4 linked regions of the Arabidopsis thaliana genome follow. The protein of the gene in region 1 interacts with the protein of each later gene in a pairwise test. Each region holds a gene or a part of one and is shown on either strand. Other genes may lie near its edges.

The links.
Region 2: the proteins of ZFP7 (region 1) and AT2G32020 interact in a two-hybrid assay, tested with the Arabidopsis thaliana proteins (one large-scale study listed by BioGRID).
Region 3: the proteins of ZFP7 (region 1) and VAR3 interact in a two-hybrid assay, tested with the Arabidopsis thaliana proteins (one large-scale study listed by BioGRID).
Region 4: the proteins of ZFP7 (region 1) and AT5G22355 interact in a two-hybrid assay, tested with the Arabidopsis thaliana proteins (one large-scale study listed by BioGRID).

The regions. Positions count from the first base shown.
Region 1 is NC_003070.9:8,724,607-8,729,311, reverse strand, and holds ZFP7 (zinc finger protein 7), read left to right. Parts: upstream 1-2,099; 5' UTR 2,100-2,351; intron 2,352-2,650; 5' UTR 2,651-2,673; coding exon 2,674-3,303; 3' UTR 3,304-3,523; downstream 3,524-4,705. UniProt on the Arabidopsis thaliana protein: Acts as a negative regulator of abscisic acid (ABA) signaling during germination and early seedling development.
Region 2 is NC_003071.7:13,630,203-13,634,371, forward strand, and holds AT2G32020 (Acyl-CoA N-acyltransferases (NAT) superfamily protein), read right to left. Parts: upstream 1,728-4,169; 5' UTR 1,543-1,727; coding exon 991-1,542; 3' UTR 778-990; downstream 1-777. Other genes in the region: AT2G32030 (Acyl-CoA N-acyltransferases (NAT) superfamily protein), read right to left, coding at 2,473-3,039.
Region 3 is NC_003076.8:5,868,925-5,875,407, forward strand, and holds VAR3 (zinc finger (Ran-binding) family protein), read right to left. Parts: upstream 3,859-6,483; 5' UTR 3,748-3,858; coding exon 3,305-3,747; intron 3,224-3,304; coding exon 3,097-3,223; intron 2,979-3,096; coding exon 2,698-2,978; intron 2,411-2,697; coding exon 2,312-2,410; intron 2,213-2,311; coding exon 886-2,212; 3' UTR 772-885; downstream 1-771. Other genes in the region: AT5G17780 (alpha/beta-Hydrolases superfamily protein), read right to left, coding at 1-52. UniProt on the Arabidopsis thaliana protein: Probable component of some protein complex required for chloroplast and palisade cell development. Involved in C-to-U editing of chloroplastic RNA. Controls a large number of chloroplastic editing sites.
Region 4 is NC_003076.8:7,399,241-7,404,776, forward strand, and holds AT5G22355 (Cysteine/Histidine-rich C1 domain family protein), read left to right. Parts: upstream 1-2,466; 5' UTR 2,467-2,521; coding exon 2,522-4,516; 3' UTR 4,517-4,732; downstream 4,733-5,536. Other genes in the region: ELM1 (fission ELM1-like protein (DUF1022)), read right to left, coding at 118-214, 399-640, 1,321-1,506; VAMP714 (vesicle-associated membrane protein 714), read right to left, coding at 5,139-5,229.

The sequences.
Region 1 (4,705 bases):
ACCAAATCATCTCTTGAATGCATCGTTTCCATCAAGAAAAGCAACTCATGGAAGTGTTTTTTACGCAGCTCCTTGATCACGTAGCTAGCTGCTCACATGAGGGCTGAGTTTTTGACCTCATACGGTATATATGAGATATTCGACCAAAAATTAAAATCGTACAAGAAAGAATTTTATCCCTCAATTAAGACCAATAGAGTCGAAACTTTTTCAAAAACTAAGCCCGCGAAAGACATAAATATATTCGGAAAACTAAGTCCAAAATTATAAGCGAACTATAACCAAAATATATAACCTAACTTTTACTTCGTAGCGCAACAACTTCTTAGTTTGTACTATAGAAAACATTGATGATTGCATCAAGTCATTTTAGAATGTCTAGCAAATTTTGGTGAGAATTTGATGAAAAGAATTTTGGTAAGTAATGAGATTTCAAAATAGCTTATTTGGATGCTGATTTCAGTAATGAGTTTTGCATAATTCTACCGAAAACTGCTCTAAATAATTAATTGACCACATTGAACTACGAATCAACAGTATAAGACTCAGTTGAAACTCACTAGTCACTACTACTTTATGGTGTGGATACAACCAATTTTAAGCTCCATTTTCATAGTGGCATTTGTCCACTAATGTTTTTACTAAAATTATTTGATTGTTCAACTTCTTGTTACCCAAGGAAAAAAGTTTTTACAAAATCTTAAAAATACCAACCAGCAACATAGAAACGATGGAACAATCATTTGTGAAATGTGATTGGGAAAGCTAATGAATTGAAGTGGGCACAAAGGCCCACAGACAAGTTGGGATGGAAATGGAACAAAAGTGGGCAGATGTCATAATCACTCAACGAATTAAAGACAAAAAAAGATAAAATATGGAGACACCATTATCTCTTTGTCTTTTGCCACGATCCCAAGATTGATTTTGCCCTGGCTTGAATTGTTCCACACACACAAACCCCTCTATGAAGACTCATCCGATGGTAAAACAACGGAAAATATCATTGGTCACGTACGTTTTATAGCTGCTAGCAACAACAACAATGACCAACGATATTTTTCTTTTTCGTTTTGTAGTTGTTAGCAATTAATGGCAACGATTAACTTTGGTTTGTTTTACAGTCGTTGGTTACTCGGTTCACTCTAGTAGTTTTGGTAACAAAGTTTAGTGATTATGACAAAATTTAGCGACTAGTAATAAAAAAAATTGATTACTAACAACGTTTTCATAGAACAAGAAAAACATAACACCTTATTTTTCACCGCACGAGTGATTTGGTAACATACCACACAGAGACAGTATCGGAAAAAAGTTTTTTTTAACAAAAACTTTGCAAAAAAAAGAAAAGTTAGATAGAAATGAGACAAAGAAAGCAGAGACTTTAAAATCACATGTGATATATCAGAAAAAACACAGCAAGAAATGTCCACATCCAAAAGTAAAGGTAAAGCCGGGGGAATGAATGTATGGGCTCCATGCAACATTATCAAATTCGTTGCTCTCTATTCGTTTTTTCCTACTATATAAGTGGCCGAGTTCAATTATTAAATGTTCATGAAAATATCCAAATTAAATGAAGAACTCTGACGAGTGCTATAAATAATTCAACAATATTATGTTTGTTTTTCTAACTATAAAACATACAATTTGTTTATCTGCTTTCTTTTTTCTTATATACAGATTTCAATTTTCACACATCTAATTCAAATCTTTTCAACAAATCATGACTATTCAACAACTTCGAAATGTTTTCAAAACTTATTGATGCGACAAAGTTTATCTATAGCACATCACAATGAACGTATAATAAACACTACTTTCGAAGACGTGCATACCAACGCCTATACGGCTACATCTTTACGAACACTGTAATAAAGTAATTCAAAATATTTCTTGGTTCTATTTCTATATATATTTAAGAAAAAGCAGAGTACTTTACTTGATTAATTTAGAAAAAATAATACTACTATTTGGCTAAGTGCCCCTAAAAAAATCGTTGAACTATAGAGAAAAAAACAGAGGTCTAAAAGTCTAACTGGCAGACACTTTTATTCTCCCATGTGTTTCACCAGACACCATCTCCATCTCTCCAACATTTGCGTTTCCACATTTGTTTAAACATAACTCTCTCTCTCTCTCTCTCTCTCTCTCTCTCTCAGTACCTCTTATTCTTATGCTCTTCTTCACCAATCCTATCTCTTCTATCTGTCTTTATTTTCTCTACATGTGAATTGACCCATTTCTGGTAAACACATAGAGTACCACTTTTCTTATTTAGATTCTTCTTCCTCTTCATAGCTTCCAAGTCAACTACTTCAGCTTCTGTCGGCTGTCTCTTCCCAGATCTCGTAAGCACAGTACCCTCCAAACTTCTTATCTCTCTCTGTCTCTCTCTCTCTCTGATCTTCGATTCTTGTTTATATTATCCTTACTACTTCCTTGGATTAAAACTTTAAAGCTTCATTTAGATTGGTCTTCTTTATGCTACGGACTTGCTGATTCTTGTCCGAATTCAAGAACTTTGTTTTTAGGTCTTGAACCAAGTTGTTAACTCTGTATAAGTCTTTACTTGCTTCTTTGCTCAATATCTTAGATTTATAGATTCGACAAGTTTTGTTGTTCTGCTTTGACTTAATTATGATTTCAGGTTAAGACCAAAACTTGGAATAAATGACGGAATCTGATGATGCCTCACGAGAAACACCAGCCAGCAGAGGAGGAGAAGCCTCGTCAAATCAAGATCTGTCCAAACCAGAATCAAACCATGTTTCACTCGATCTCAAGCTCAACGATACTTTCAACGATGACACAAAGAGCACAAAGTGTGAAGCAAACCCAAGAGTCTTCTCTTGCAACTACTGCAGACGCAAGTTCTATAGCTCTCAAGCTCTTGGAGGTCACCAGAACGCACACAAGCGAGAAAGAACAATGGCCAAACGAGCAATGCACATGGGAAGAATGTTTGGTCACCATCACAGGCCTTACACATACACTTCTTCTTCCCTTGGGATGCAAGCTCACTCCGGTTTACTTCATCACACCTTATCTCAGCCTCAGCCTCTTGTTTCTAGGTTTCATCATCAAGGGTATTTTGGTAACACCGTGCCGTTGTTCTTTGACTATGACGATGGTGGTAGCGACTTCTTCTGGCCCGGCAGCTTCCGTCAGGTGGTTGAGGAAGCTGAGGCTCCGGTGGTTGTGGTGGCTAGTACTGAGTCAGGCCTTGATTTGAACTCGGTTGCGGCAAATGGAGGTGTAGATAATAATAGCTCAAAGCCTGATCTTACCTTAAGACTCTAAAAGGATTAAGGAGATTATATCTTTATTGTTATTTTTCTATTGTTAGACATACAGAAGATAAGTTGGAGACAGTTGATAGAAATTGATGAAAAACTTTGTTGTTATATTAAATGAGGTTGTTCATTACATTACGGTTTCATTCATACCATTATACGAGCTCCCACACCAGTTAAATCATTAACTATTTTCATCTAGGAAGTGAAAAACATTAGTATGTTCGGTGGAAAAATTTTGTTTCGTTCATGAAAGATTGAATCATTTGTATGTCTTCTCGCGGAAACTGAGCCAGACATGCCAAAACGTCGACCAAAGTAGATTTAATATTTGGACACCTGAACATACTAACCGATTTAAGCCATCTTATTTATCATGCATATCAAATTATGTCTTAACCAGAATCAACTTTAAGACATTGATGTCTCCATTATTTGCAAATTCATTACAAGTTGTTTTCTTTTCTTGCATGTTTGTGTCTTCACTTCCATATATTTATTCCTAAAAACTAAAGTTTTTTTGCTAAGAATTCCTAAACTAAAGTTGCTTACTCTGAAGTTCCAAATAAATAAATAAAACTCTGAAGTTCTAATGAATTTTGTTGCCATATATGCGGTAAATTCTTGTGATTCATTTTTTCTCATATGATCTATATTTTTTTTTTGGGGGCAAAATTAATCTGTATATATTGTTTACATAACCTCACTAATCAAAGCTTATTTGTTTACATGGTCAAAATATGAATAAATTTTAAAACTTTGACTAGACAACCAATATTAAAATTGAGCATCTTTTATTTTATAAGTTCTTTTTTTTTTTGTGCAAAATTTTTATAAGTTCTTTATACGAATAAATCAAAGAAAACTACATATAGTAAAAGTACGACCAACTCAAATAATTGTAGGATGTGTGATAAAGTACATATAGCGTATCTAGTTTCTTTTTTGAAGTACAGAGTATAATCTATTAACCAAACATTTTTAAAGTAATATATAGCTATGTTCAAAAGAACGAAATAATCCGTAGACCGTGATTGTGCCGAGATTAGTGGGAGACATTCGGACGAAGTTGGCTTTATACTATTACAAAATCATTATTTACGCTACTAAATGCAAGTAATCAACATCAAGTGTATATTTATTTCGTCCTTATACACCCAATTGCTTGTTTAAATATTAATAATCATTTTGACTTTGGAATGATAATTATAAAGTTCTGATTATGATGTTTTAACAATTCAGAAACTAAATAATCATACAAAATCTGTTATCATGTAAAGGTTATTAGAGAGAAGCGGTCGCTACTCGATATTGGAAGAGCAGTACTTACGCATGACACAAAAATGTCAAATATTTATTTAATTCATATCCATATTTTAATTACGGATTTACATAAAACTGAGAGAGTT
Region 2 (4,169 bases), on another chromosome or scaffold:
TCCTATATGGACTGACTGGTCAGACATATTGAACGGAGTGGAGTCTTTATTCACATAACCTAAAAATAACTTTTTTTGATATGCATGTGTATCTATAGGCCAAATATATTTTAGTTCTACCACAGAAGTTAAAATAAATTGTATTAGTAATATATTTAGTCCTTTGAAAGTGGGAAACGAAATTAGCCTCACACAAGCACAGTGATGATTGATTTCTTCTTCTTTTTTTTACCCAAAAAAATCCATTTTTTCTTGTAATTTCTTATTTCCAGATTATTTTCTTCATAACAAAAAAAAAAGAAAAGAAATTGCTCACTTCACTTCTCACTAGATTCTTTATAACGAAACCTCCACTACACGGGCCCTAAATTTGGGCCACATGGGCTTCTCTCTTAACGAATTACGCACGAGTAAACTTCATTTTTCCAACAAGAAGAAGAAACTCAGGGGAATCTAAAGATTGTTTACTTTAATTTAAGAAATATGGAGAAATCATAATAAATTAATTACGTACTACTTATAGTAAATTTGTTGAATTACATAAATTCATAATTCAAATTTTACAAATACTTTTAATATCCTGTGTTATTTTAACAAAGCTGGTCTGGCTCTTAAGTTCTCATCCCAAGGACCATGGGATGTTTTGCTTTTTTTTTCTTTTGCTTGTTGGATGAGTATGTGAACCTTTTTATGGATACAGGACGAATCCCATTGTTTTATTTACATTCTACATTATTCGTTTATACGCTTCTATTAACCTTTGATTTTTAAAACTCTTCTCTACCTATCAATTTGTAATCGGATGATCCCTCTAACCTCACTTCTGTCTCATGCACTGACTTTAATTGTTTCGTAATTTACAATGTAGGATTTATAGATTTTTTTGGCAAATGAAAAACAGAGTGTTTACATCATGTATTACGTATATGAATCATACACTAAATCCAACATATATATGTAGAATTGCTAATTAATCTTTTTGTTGATTAATTACTTCAAAGTATCAGTAGACAAGAAACTAAACATAACAGTGTCTCTTACACTTCCCTTGATACATATAAACTTCCTCATCACACCTTCTCTAGTAAACCCAACTTTTTCAAGAACCCTTTGAGATCCAACATTGTCCACATCAACAAGTGCCTCAAGCCTTTCAATCTCTGGAAATTCCTCGAATACCTCCGCGGTCACTAGCCTCACTGCTTCCGTGGCAAACCCTTTTCCCCAATACTTTCTCGCTAGGACATAACCAATCTCTTTTCTGATGTTATCAACCGCCATGATCAAGATGTAGCCGATTGGACGGTCGTCTTCTAAGCAGATGGCTCGGAGCCAAGGGTGTGTCAGGACACGATCGGTTATGTATTTGATAGCTTCGTCTCGGCTCGTGCAAGGCTCCCAAGTGCAAAATCGAGCCACTTTAGGATCTGTGGCCCAAACCATGTAGTCATCGACGTCGGAAAGAGTCATCGGCCGGAGAGATATTCTTCCCGGAGGCGAAGAGCTCATTATTGGATTAGTTTCTTCTGAGTCCATCTCCATTTAGGATTAGTGATTGTTTTAGATATCATATCACTACGTCTAAGCGATGTCTTTATACACATCGCGATCTTGAAAAACTTTGAGATTCTCCCTTATTGCTTTTGACTAAAAAAACACTAAATATTACCATTTGCTATAGATAAGTGTATTTAGTGTTAAATATACGACATAAGATGAGGTGTCATCGTGTGAGTGGATAATTGTCTATATTTGACCTTGGACTTTCGACACTTACTTGGTTGCCAAACAAAGTATTGTTCTGGTTTCGGAACTTAATGTGTTGCTTCCAGTTGGATGCCCACAATGCCACGTGTCAAATCGTGTGTGGTCTGATTCCCAAAAAGGATTTAACTGTTTCTCAAGTTATTCTAAATGGATTAAATATTTTAATACTGTTAATATTTGTGGTGCAAATGATCGTAATCGTTTGTTATATACTGTCAAAATCAACTCAAGAATCAAGTCACTCAACATGTTGTATGATTAAGTAATTTAGCTAAAGATTAATTAATCGAATGTTATCAGAATTCCATTCATCTATCGCTGTAAAACTAGCTATCACACTATCTTTTTATTGTATAAAATATTTCATGTTTAGATTCAAAAAGAAAATATATATATATATATCATGTTTCATTTTGTACTTTTAATTTTCAATATAAACTTACATTTTTTCTGAGATAGTGAAGCTTTGTTTTATTTGGTGAAGTGAACATGGTAAATAGTAAATACATTACTCTCAAATTATAAAAAATAACTTTTGTATGAAATAGTTAATATATAAGGTTACAACTAACAATTACATAAGAAGAAGAAAGATAGAGCATCACATCAAATTATACATGTGATTTTTACAAACTAAGCAAAATATAAATTTCGACATCAAACAAACTTAATATATATATTTGATATTTGTTAATTCAAATCAGATCAGTGCAACGAATCAGAAGGCAAGAAACTAAACATGACCATATCTCTAACATTTCCTTTAAGATACATAAATTTCCTCATCACACCTTCTTTCACAAACCCAACTTTTTCAAGAACCTTTTGAGATCCAACATTGTCAACGTCAACAAGTGCCTCAAGCCTCTGCATCTCTGGCTTCTCCTTGAATATCTCCCCCGCCACAAGCCTCACCGCTTCAGTGGCGATCCCTTTCCCCCAATACTTGCTTCCGAGGACATAACCAATCTCTCCTCTGATCTCATCGACTGGCGTTACGGAGATCGAGCCAATCGGACGGTCGTTATCTAAGCATATAGCTCTAAGCCAAGGGTGTGGCAAAAGAGCGTCGTTTAAGTACGCGATCGCGGCTTCTCGGCTAGTGTAAGGCTCCCACGTGCAAAAGCGTGTGACGTTTGAGTCAGTGGCCCAAACCATGAAATCGTCGACGTCGGAAAGAGTCATTGGCCGGAGATGGATTTTCTCCGGAGGTGAGGAACTCACGGTGGATAGGGTCTCCGGTTTGATCGTAGTAGTTGAGTCCATCTCCATTGACTTTTTCTTGGTTACTTTCCTTTTTGAGTCTTTGAAGCTTCTTTGGGATTCTTTAAAATAAATTATCTCTCTCAATTCTTACAGATTTGTGTAGAGGCATTATGATAATACTTCTTCTACAAATCACGATTTAAATACTGATTTTTTTTTAACAAAAAAGAAAATAAACAGAACGTTCCTTCTTGCTTCGATCGGTCAAATACGCAACAATTAGTTCTTGTTGAATGGAAGGTGTGAAAAAGACGGTTTATAATGGGTATGGGTGAACCGTATATTTACCATCCATTCATCGTTTTTGATTTAAAAGAGGTATATTCAATCTAGTATTTAAAGTGACTTTCGTAAATTTTACAAGTATATGTTATTTAATTATGGATTTTGAAAATTCTAATGAAATCTAGTGTTATTAAAATAATAATTTAAAAATCTACCTTTAAATTCACTGTTATTAAAAATAATTTATGGATTTGATTTTTATAAGAATGTATTCAATCTAATATTTTAAGTGATTTGTGTAAAATTTATAAATTCTATGTTGTTCGATTATGGATTTGAAAAACTTTAATGAAATCTAGTATTATTGAACTAAAGATTTAAAATTCTATCTTAAAATCTATTGTTATTGAAAATAATTGGTAGATTTGATTCTTATTAATTTTGAAGGATTTGAGAAAGTTCTTTAGTTAAAAATAACAAAATCGAAATTCATGGTCTTATATAGAATTTTAAAATATTTTATAATAAATCACATCAATTTTCCTAAAATCATCAAACTCATATAAAAACTAGCTAAAACTCAAATTGTAAGGTCCAAATTAATGAGTCAACTCAACTCAACTCAACTCAATCCATGAACCCTAATGAGTTGAAAATTTTGACTCAAATGAGTTGATGAGTCAAATGAGTTGATGAGTCAATTGGTTTGATGAGTAAAATGAGTTGGGTTGTAATGGTTAATGGTTTCAATGGTTTATCCAATTAACCCATCAAATTTTGTAAAATTGAATTAAACCAACTAAAATCTCTAAACCAATGCCAATTTAAGTCTAACCAACACATCTAAACCAATTTAATAAAATTAATATTTTTCCAAATTTCTTAAATATACAAGCGATGAAATTGAGAAA
Region 3 (6,483 bases), on another chromosome or scaffold:
TAAAAGATAGAGCGGCGTGAATCGCTGTCCCGAATTTTCTCGGGAAAGACATAGAAGCGGAGAGAATCTAGACCGTGGGAGAAATTGAGATGAGTGGTTAAGCCACGTCGCATGAGAGAAGTTTCGAATTTATTACCAAAGTTTAGATGCATGCACTACAATTATGTTATATGTTTTTTTTCTTTTGGTCGGAAAATCTTACGGATATGTTACTATTAAGTAAAAAGGCCCGAAGGCTTTCCCAGGCCCAAAATAGGGGAGCCTGATTTACCCGCAGATATCATAAACGACGTCGTTCTAAATCTTGCCTCTCGTTCTAAATCTTGCCTCTAACGACGTGTTTTCGGTTTTGCTTATAACTCTCCTTTTGGAGCTTGCTGATATATCTTCAATCTTTAATATTTTGCATTACTTTCTCAATTCTTTACTGCCTCACCAAGTAACGATCTCTTTTCATTCACAACATGTTTCATCACTTTGTGTTACGTTTATATTCACAACATTCTGTCTGTATATATATTTGTGTTGTTTCTTTTAATCAAGGCGAGACCAAAGCTTATTCACATTATGGAACTTCAAATTCAACAGCGAAAGCAAGCTGTGAAGGACATTAAGATGTTTGTGTGCATTAACTTTATTATATTAATGGTATCAGTATCATCCATCCAAGATTCTTCAAAAGCTTGTTGTGGTAACGTTTGATGTATTATAGCAATGTTGATTTTGTTGTGTGCAGGAGGAGAGAAGAAACACAGCGACTTCTAAAGGATGCCGTCGGTAAAGATGGAGAATAAAGTTTCTACACATTGTGTATATAGAAGTTGAATTAAAGAAATACAAAAATCGTATGGTAATATTACTCCGAAAAAATGTTATGCTACATGGTCATTTATCTCCTTTACCAGTGGGATCAGAGTTGGTGATATGAGGATTTCTCTGGTGTCGTTGAGAAGTTAAACGCCGTTCCAAGGGAGTTTTCCTCTTGCTGACAACAAACCTATTCACTCCTTTCCTCATCGGCATTATCGACGGGAAATCTTCGTCTGGGATCTCACTCAGCTCTGATATGTTCTTAATCTCAGCCACTCTCTTAAACCATCTCTCTGCTTTTGCTTCCTCTGACATGTCCAACAAGTCTGACTCCTTCACTAACGAACCCTCCAAGCTCTTTCCATTTCTGATCTTCACTGCCACTGTATCAGATTTGTTGATTGAAGGTTCTCTTGGTTCTTGTTGTACTACCTGAGAAACGTTTTCTGTCGCCGGAGCTGGAAGAGTATCTATTGATTCCTTGGGTTGTTTCTCTTTGGCGAAGTAGTCAGGTGGGAAAGGGACAAAGGGGACAAAGTCTGAATCTTCTGGCCTCTTGTATGCTGGAGAAGTCAGTGAACGGTCTTTCTTCCTACTCACTACAAACCGATTCTCTCCTTTTCGCATAGGCATTTTCTCAGGAGAAATCTCTTGCGGTATTGCGCTTTCCAAGTCTGAAACATTGTGCAGTTCGGTGACCCGTTTGAACCACCTCGCAGGTTCCTCTGATTTGTGATCTTCCTTTTCAAGGCGATCTGTTTCTTTGCCAGAGTGATTTGCATCTGACTTGTCCTCTTGATAGACATTTTGATTGCCGCCTGAGAAACCATCCACTTGGATGTTGTCAATCAGACCTATCTGTGTTTCCTCCTTAGGTTTCTTGGCAAACATATCCGAAGGTAATGGCACGAAAGGAACAAAATCGGTGTTTATTCCCTGAGAAGATTCAAACCTTCTGGAAGATACATTCTTGTCATCAGAACGAGAAGTCAAAGAGGATGAAGAACCAAGAATCTCATTCAAGCTCCTAGTTGTTTTACTTCCCAAAGCATTATCGTCGCTCCTTTTCGAGTTTCCATCTGTAGCTACTCTGTTCTCAGTATTAGCCAACCTTCTCTCAAGAGGTGGCTTCCTCGTGCTAACAACATATCTATTCACTCCTTTCCTCAAAGGCATAATCTCTGGGAAATCTTCATCTGTATCAACACTGTTCGCATCAGAACCACCCTGTGCTACTTTACTAAGCCACCTCTGTGCTTTCTTTTCGTTTTCGACCAGTCTTCTCTCAAGTTCAGGGTCACTTGAATAATCAGAGTTGGCTGAATTGAGTGAAGAGTCCCTGGGTCGCTTGCAGTCACATCTTAAGCAAGCTACATTCCTCCCGTAATTATAGAAATCACATCTGATAAGTGAAACAACCAAGAAAGAAAGGAAAGGTTAACCTCATCATTCCTCATCGCATTAGTCATAAAGTAGCAGAGAGAAAAAATCAGTTTCTTACTGAGGACACTCCCATTCACTACCAGTAAGCTGTCTCTTTGGTCTTGCTTCATCACACTGGAAGCATTTGACATTTCTCGCAAAGTTCATGCCACTGCACCTGTTTCAACAAATTCCCACATCATATATATAGATTCCCTAAACGACAAGATGATGAAACAAAGACAATTACACCATACTGACTTCTTAGCTCTAAAAATAAGATCTTTCGACCACAATACTAGTGTAATAGTCAGAAGTATACTTGTTCAAGCTCAGATCCAGAAGATTTTTTTTTATGGTATCCTTATATCTAGGCCTACTTATATCTTTCCATAGAAGAATGGTAACCAAAAGGCCATAGGAGATTTACACCAAAAAGCTACTGAGAATCCAACAAATTCATACCTCGAGCAAATCCAGTCACCACGTTTCATCTCAACGTTATTCTGAAAAGACCTGACTCCTTGTCCATCTCTATCTGAGTACTGATTTTGCATCGTGTCATGAACATTCGACTCAGGAGGACGCAAGCTCATCTTCGCTATCTGACTCAAGAGGCTTCGAACCGATGACTCCATAATCTCTTTGTTATGTTGTTTGCTCTCCTCAGAAGAAGCAACATCCACAACATAACTCAAAATAAGCCTCATCAAATCAACTGTACTCGCCTTCTCCATATCCATCAACTAATGTAAAACACAAAAGATCATAACTTTGAGGCACAAATCACCATTGAACCAAGTTTAGACATAACCTAGCATTCACCAATAAAAGACTAAGCATTTGCCAGAAGATAGAACTTACCTTACCAATGCCCTGAAGACCACTTCTTAGGTAAAGGCTCATCCTTTTAAGTGAATCTGGACCTGTCTTGAATAAAAATGGCTTTCCATTCTCCACCAGCACTTCAACGTCTCTCCTCGAAAGCATTCTAATAAACACTAACATCATCAGATATTCAGATTGAGAATCAATCCAAAAAGAGAAAGAGAAAAAATTGCAGATTACTTACTCAAGCAGTTCTGGTCGTTCACGAGCTAGAGCTAAGCAAGCAAGAGCTGGACGGAGAAGTTCATCAGGAAAACCGGGAAAGAATTCACTTTCTAAACCAGAAATCGAACCGGAATCTGAGAAGTAACCAGCTTTGGAGAGAGATTGGAGTAGCTCTGTCCATTCAGGTAGCTGCTGGTTGTGATAAGAAGGAACAAAATCTGCGGCGGAGACACGGACTTGGTGATTGTAGAATCGTCCTATAGGAAACGTGGGGATAAGCGGCGGCAATGACACGAGTGGACGGAAAGAACATAGATTGGTTGAGGCAACGGACGAAGGAGGAAACGCACGGCGGTGGAAACGGCGGAGATTGGCTATGCGGCTGATGTAGAGACCACGGAGTAGAAAGAGAGGAGGAGGATGAGGAGAGAAGAGGGAGATGAGTCTGGTGGAGTTGTTCATCGTTGCTCGTCGTCACTGGTTTTATTTTTACCGGCGAGAATTATTTCAGTGATGTTTAAGGAAAAAAAAAGGATTAATAAATCGCAAAATAATTGCAAAATGAAGAAAAAAATAAGCCCATATTGGCTAACATAGGCCCATAATTCTGTGTGCTACTACTTGGGCTTGCCATTATGAATGTTTGGTAACTTTGGTAAATAATGTATTTCATTCAAATGGGATGTCTCTTAAAGAAAAAGTAAATGGTTTCGTACTAATAATGGAATTAACCCAAGTAACGAACTGATAGTAATCTAATCTAAGAGATGTTTTAAAGATAAGCGTAAGTTTTATGTTGAAATCTTCAGTTTATACAATATAAAAAGGAGTTTGCAGATTCGGTATTTATCAAATTGCACGTCGATTTGACATCAATTTTCGTGACTTGAAAAGTTGAAGTGTACATTGTACAATGTCATACGCATGCATACATTTCTTTTGACTTAAAGCCGCTATAACTTTAAAAGATTTATAGTCATACATTTCTCCGTTATTGAATTTTCACTTACTTAACAAACCTCGATTATAGTTATACTTCTACATATGTTCGTAATAAGTGATGTTTACTTGTTTAGAGATTTCAATTCACATACGTTATTTAATTTCTAACTTTTGTTTTTCTTAAATTAATAAGTTTATATGTTACAACTTACAACTTTCGAAAATAATAGATGATATAGACTATTTTTACATATACTATAGAAAAAAGCTATGTCAAGGATCTAAAATAGTTATATTTATTATGTATTAGTACTTCTTGGTTTCAGAACTTATACAATTACAATATATAATAAAACCTAAGAAATAAAAATTAACTAAAAAATAATACGTTATGAATATAGTTTTATATAAACGAAAGAAACGAAAATTAAAACATCAGTGGAACTAAAAAGGAGAGAATAATATTTGTGTTCTCTTGAACGTGGGAGTCACTGTGAGTTAAAGTTGGGTGTGGATTAGTTGCCGATCACTGCCGTCAACTTTTGACTAATGTTTATTCTGATTAACACTTTTACATACACTAAGCTATTTATAATGTAATAACTAATTTCTTTGTTTAGATCTATGTGGAGTAAAATATTGGTGAGTACGTAGACAATTAACTGCCTTGATAATGACTTCAATCTAAGTCCGTAAGGTATAACCTCATTAATTCCCCTAGAAATGTATTTTATCATAATTAATTACTATTTATACTTTGATGTGACATGTTTAGTTCTATGCCACAAGTGCAATGGACGGGCTAACAACTTTGACATGATTTGTAATTAAAATTCAATTTTAATAAAGAGACTTTATGTCATTACATCATGAGATAAAGCCCTAAATTCCTCAAATTAGTTAAAGTGTCTTCTTTAAAACTAATCAAGAAGTTTTAAAGAAACTTTTTCTATGTTAATGTAATTAGTGTGACTTATCTCATGAATCATGATTATCCGAACATTATTTTAGCGCTTGGAGTTTCGAAGTTACCTTTTCTCGCCACCTTTTGTTTTCTGGGTCTATTGAAAGATTGTCTCAAATTTTAAAAGGATAAGAAAAACACAATTCCATTAACTTTAATCGTACAAGTGAGAGTGTTAGAAATTGTGGTTAAACAATGATCAATAACCACTAACCATTTCGTAAAATTCACCGACGACTTTATCAAATGACGAACATGATCCGATGGATCCACGAACTACCGAAAGAGAAGTAACCTCAGAACTATGTAGAAAAAGCAATCCTATTATTCATTCGAACTAATTCAATATGCAGCTAGTTTTTTGGTCTAACGACTTCTTATCGTACCATTTTTCATCTCTTATCATTTTTACCATATTCAACCATACCACCATTTTTATCACTATTTTGTACAGTTACAAAGCTCTTACCGTCTTGCGCTATTAATCGGACCATTAAACAACTTCACATAAAATTTTATATTAGACGTTTGAATTTAAGTCGAAGTTTTGATAATCTTAAATGTAACCCCTAAAATACAGTCGATAGTATTTGATGAAACAACTCCCTCATTAAAAATCGATTACTTTTATAAAATAGCTGTAAAATAAATGGCAACCCAAACGAAACAAAAAATATCTATCCCCCGAAACATATTACATATACTCCACATCTTTCATATATGTTTGTTTATCGGTATGTCTTTAATATTATCTCTTCTTACCCCAAAATTATACAACAATCTTTCAAATTACAGACCACTTTCATGGTCGTTGGAAAAAAATAATTCTTCCATAGTCGAGAATATGATTTGCAAAAATGTTATTAAATAATAATCATTCAAAGTATCTTAATAAAAAAACAAAAGAAAAGTGGAATTGGTCCATAACGGTTCGGGGAACTTTTCTATGAACCGGAAACTGAAATTCGTGAGGACGGTACACGTGTTAGGTAAGAACACGATCCGCTCGTGTGTAACAGCCAATGATGTCGTCATTCCACGTCGGTACAAGACTTTTTTTTTGTCGTCAACAGAAGATTTCAAAATTAACGAAACCGTTCCCATAACCGAAACTCACATAAAAACAAGACACAATAAATAAAAAACTTTAGGTACTTTTCTGTCGTTTCTTTGGTTTCTAACGTCTATTCGTGTTATATTTGTTTTATTCTTCATTTATTATTGTTGAATTTAATTCTAGTTCGAGTTCAGTTACATGATTTCTCTCTTTAATCTCTAGTATTTTAATCCAT
Region 4 (5,536 bases), on another chromosome or scaffold:
AGCAACAAAATTCTTCCCAAAGATACTAAGTAAAGTTTGTCTCGAATTGTATTTCAGAGCTTAGTCTACTGTGCCTTAATAACTAACATAACAAACAGGTTAAATTTTATAATAGACCTGAACAACGAAGACGTTTTCAGAAGCCAAACGTCTTATCGAGCTAGCAATAGAAATAGTATCTCTTCCACATGCAATCACGATCAACGGGCCATCCCTGCGAAAAGGAAATAAAGTCGCTTAGATACCCATTCCCATTCCATGGACAAACAGAAATTCGTGATGATGGAAAGGCATACACTCAGGCTTCGATTTCGCTTGAGTACTACTTGCAACTCATAGAAACGCAATAGTGTTTAAATGAATAAGCACCACAAAGAAATTTCAGAAAGATTACATACTTTTCATAGGTCTGACGGGCCAAATTTACAATGCCCTTCACATCAGCCTCTAGAATAGAGGCCAAACCTACATTACCACCATTCTCTGAGGGTACAGATGAGATGTATTTACTTTGTTTGGATCCAAGCATCAATCTGGAGTAGAGGTAAATATGCCTGAGGATAAAGTCCAACTTCTTGTGAAAACCAACTGGGAGCCAGTGCAGCCACTCATTTAGTCCTCCTTTAGGCCTTGTCACTCGCTTGCATAAAGAAAAAGAGATAATCTCAGCTAACCAAAAATCATGTTAAATGTAAATTTACGTGAATGTCGAGTCTATGAATGATCAAGAAGCTAGAGAAACCAGACACAGCAAAACAGCCTTATATGCATCCAAACTGATCTAAAAGAAGCATTAAAGACTCCACTACCAGTGTTCCTTGTAAACGAAATTCAGTAATTGCACCAGCATCATGCTCCACCAATGATTCAATTCTCTTTAAGATTTACCAAAAAAAATTATAAATAAAACTGACAATATAGGTAGTTATGACACCCCAAGAACCTTCCACTGTTTACCCTAAATTTGCAGAACTTGAGATATTGGCAAATTTACATATTTACCAATTCATTGTTTCCATAAAAATTCAAATAGTTCCTCCTTCTCTGAACATTCATACACTCTAAAGAAGTACTAAACAATATGAAATTTCCACTCCTACTTAGACTGAGACCTAACAAGCTAAAAACCTAGAACACACGACGAAACAACAAAGTAAAAGAAACTCCTATCCAAAAGCAATCATCAATCTCTCAACTACATCATGCGCCTAGCAAAAACTGACGAGAATTTCGAGTATAGTATCAATGGTTTATAGTCGACGAAATGAAAGCACTAAGCAGATGCTAAAAACGTCTAGAGCCTAGATCAAAGAAACTCACGTAGAGAAGGTGATTATCAGATAAGCCGAGCGCACGAACGAGACCGATACACTGATTCTCGGAGCCAGGGAAACCGTTTCCGATGACGACGGCGCGTCTGACGACGTTATGGGAACCGCCTTGTTCGAAAATATCAGGGACGCCGGTAGATAGACTGGGTGGATCCGGCAATAGGATTGGCCTCATGCCGGTTAGATTATCGATTCCGATTCCGATCAAAAACCCTAGAGGAACCACACCGAGATTTGGGGGGATTGATCTCAACTCCGTAGAGAGAAGGTCGTGGTGCTTTGACAAGTTGCGAAAGGTCACAGAAAGAGAGATTGTTTTCCTTTTCTCCTTCAAGAGATTGTCTTTACGCTAAAATTTGGTATAACAATTAACAAAGGACAAATTTAAGGTCTTAAACGAATTTTTTGCTAATCAATAAAACTAATTTTGTCAATACAAAACATACAATTGTTTAAAAAAAAAGAAATTGTATGGTATTTTAAAAATTTTGATTTTAGAATTTGAAGTTTTGGAATTTTGTTTTGTTATATGATGATTAAAATTAAAATTTCACCGATAGTCATCCAAAATTAGAATAAAACACTATTTGTCACATAATTGCTGTTTTTCTAATTGTCTATTCAAATCTTATGAACCTCTTCGTAGGCCCAATATGTAGAATTTGATTGTTAAAAGGTGAAGCCTTATCTGGAAAAAGCCCAACTGTTATTGTTCTTCCTGTGCCTCGTTTTGTCTCGGTCTAACTTTTTTACACACGACTTTACCAATCATAGTATTCAAAGAAATCTAGCGATCTCAAGACTCCGAGTGTCACGATAGAGAATATGAAATTGCAGAAATGATTCAATATAATTATATATCTTAGCTGTTGTTAACACGTTAGATGTTGAGTTTAGGAAATTAATTTATTGGGTATTTTCATACTATTATATTCATAGGTAGCTATAACGATGATAAGATAATTTAATGTGTGCAGGTTGTAAACAGTTAGGAATATGAAATAATTCAACTATATATTATAATCATCTCGTGGAAAACAGGATCGATTGCACATGATTCATTGGAGACAAGAATCGTTAAGGTGTTCACACATTACGTGTCTTTGTTATATTGGGGTTACAAAGATGCATTCATATGATGTAGTATTATCTTGAGATCTCCAGAAAACAAACCGCATTTGAATCACAAAATGGATCTACCACCCAAAATACTACCAACTCACAAATATCCTTTGACCATTTCGACTCGTTTTGTTAATGATTCTTGTAAAGGTTGCAATATAAAAGGTCCCATCTATGGCGGCTACCGTTGCAACGAGCCTTCCTCTACTAGTTTGTTCTTCCACAAAGAGTGCGCAGAGGCTCCACCGGAGATTATCAACCATCCTTCTCATCCTCAACACACTCTTAAACTCCACAATTCTCTAAGGAACCCATGTAAATGTAATCTATGTGGCAAGACTTTTTTCGCTTTTGGTTATCGTTGTTCATCAAAATGTGACTTCATCGTGGATCTCACTTGTGGGATAAATCCATTGCCGGTTTCTATCGAACATCCAAAGTCTCATCATCATCCAGTTATCTTCTTGAAAGAACCCGCAAAGCCGGGTAGGCGCAGATGCGGAATTTGCAAGGGCTATAATGGTGGATGTTCTTATGCATGTCTTGAATGTGAAGTCCACTTTCATGTCGAGTGTGTCAATCTTTCCCAAGAGGTGAATCATCCTTCTCATCCTCAACATTCTCTCAAGTTACTTGAATATGAATCACTAACAAGTGATGCTGAAGAGACATGTCTTTTATGTGGAGAACGACCAGACAAAGTGCTTTATCGCTGCTCGATATGCAACTTCAGCGTATGTCGATTCTGTACAAAAGATCCACCACCACTTGCTATCGAGCATCATAAGACGCACGAGCATCGACTTGTCCTCTTATCAAGACTCATCTCATTTGAATGTAATGCTTGTGGGATGCAAGGTGATCGAAGTCCTTACATGTGTGTTCAATGCGGGTTTGTTGTCCATAGAACTTGTATTGACTTACCACGTGTCATAAACATCAACCGTCACGATCATCGCATCTCTTTCACCCATCATCTCGGTGTTGGGTACTCGAGATGCGGTATTTGTCGCAAAGATATAAGTCAATACCATGGGGCTTATTTATGCCCTCGTTGCCCGAACTATGCAGCTCATTCACTATGTGCAACAAGAAAAGACGTATGGGATGGGGTAGAACTCGAAGGGACACCAGATGATGATGACGAAGATATTGTGCCGTTCAAAGTGGTGGGTGATAACTTGATCAAGCATTTCAGTCATGAAGAACATAATCTAAGACTCAACAAGGACAATATCAATCGTGACGAAGGCTCACGTTGTGAAGCATGCGTCCTTCCTATCTATTCCGATCCGATCTACAACTGTGAGGAATGTCGTTTCATTCTCCATGAGAAATGCGCTAATCATCCAAAAAAGAAACGACATGTATTCCACACAAAACCATTCACACTATGGTCCAGACCACCTCGTACATTCCATAGCAAAGATTTTAGATTCTACGATGTCTTTCGCTGCTATGCTTGTAGAACGAAGTCTACTGGTTTCAGGTACGTTTCTGATTGGTGGGTTCTAGATGTACGTTGTGGTTCGCGTTCTGAACCGGTCATTCATGATGGTCACAGACATCCTCTATATTACGAACATAAGAAAGATCACTGTTGTGATGCATGTTATAAAGAGATAGATGGTTATCTGCTTTCCTGTGACACTTGTGACTTTGATCTGGATTTACACTGTACTGATTTACCAAAAACGGTAAAGCACAGCTGCGACAATCATCCTCTTTCCCTATGCTATGGCGAAAATGCAACCGGAAAATATTGGTGTGATATTTGCGAGGCGGAAACAGATCCAAGTAAGTGGTTCTACACTTGCTCTAAATGTGTGGTTACTGCACATATTGAATGTGTGCTTGGAGACTTTTCACGTCTCATGCCAGGACGCATCATCAACTACAATAATGTTAGAGTTGAAGTGGTTCTTAACAGCTATAGTTCTCGCCCCTTCTGTGCAAAATGTCACTCCAGATGCAGAGCTCCTATCATTCTAAAGCTTTGTGATCCATATACTGGATACATTTGTTCCGATGCATGTGTAGTGCCCGACTATCAATACAGCTAAGACAACTATGTAGCTGTTTATTTCACTCTATTGTTTCTCGTAATTTTTTGGATGTAAGAGTTTATTTCCAACTACAAGTGCTAAGCATTCTGGTTATATTCATACTGTGTTCATCAGTACAGGCAGGATTAAACTGTATCGATGACATATATAAAGTCGTAACAAGTTATGACAAACTTGCTAAAAAGGTAGTAGCAACTAATATGATTTAGTTAATGAAAACATAGACAGAAATGATGGAAACAGATATTTGTGAATCAGAAATGTTATTAAACAAAGATGAAAACTGAAGTAATTTTAACAACAAAAATAACGAATATGTGATGTACATTGCAAATGCAAAAATTATAAAGACACAGCGGATAAAGTTTTGGAAATACAGAGAACAAACTCACTCACGTGACTAAATCTAAAAGACAAGGCAAGAGTTCAATGAACCTCTGTATCATTTTGATTTTGACATTTACAAGAGTTACATAAGCAAGGAGGACCATGACATGTAACTTCAAACTCACAGTCATTTTCATGACAAAACCAAGGCTTCAAATCGAAATGATGCGACTGAGTTGATTTACAAAAACAGTGGTCCGTTTCAGTATACCTTAGATAAGGCCGCCAGATTTTAAGATCTGCATGATGGTAAAGTGATTCCTCCGCAGAAAGATGCGATTATTATGTACAGCAAGAAAACTATCAAGCATGTCAACAAGACCCTGCCGAACACAAACAAGAAAAGCAGTTTTGTTGATTAATAAAAGTGATCTGGAACTCAAGCATCAAAACAAAACAATAATGAAATTTCTTTAAGCAGAGGTGGAATCAAGGCAGTGTAGTTCCTATCAGCCAAAAATTAGATATTTTGTCGAGGAGAATTTCCCAAAATCGAAAATAATGTTGAATCTTAGAACTACTGTATCTCTAGTTTAAGAAACATATCAATAAACTATGCTGCAAAGGCGAGTTGAAACACCTAGAATGTAGAAGAGCGTATCTCTTAGTTAGCAAAGAAAAGGAATGAAG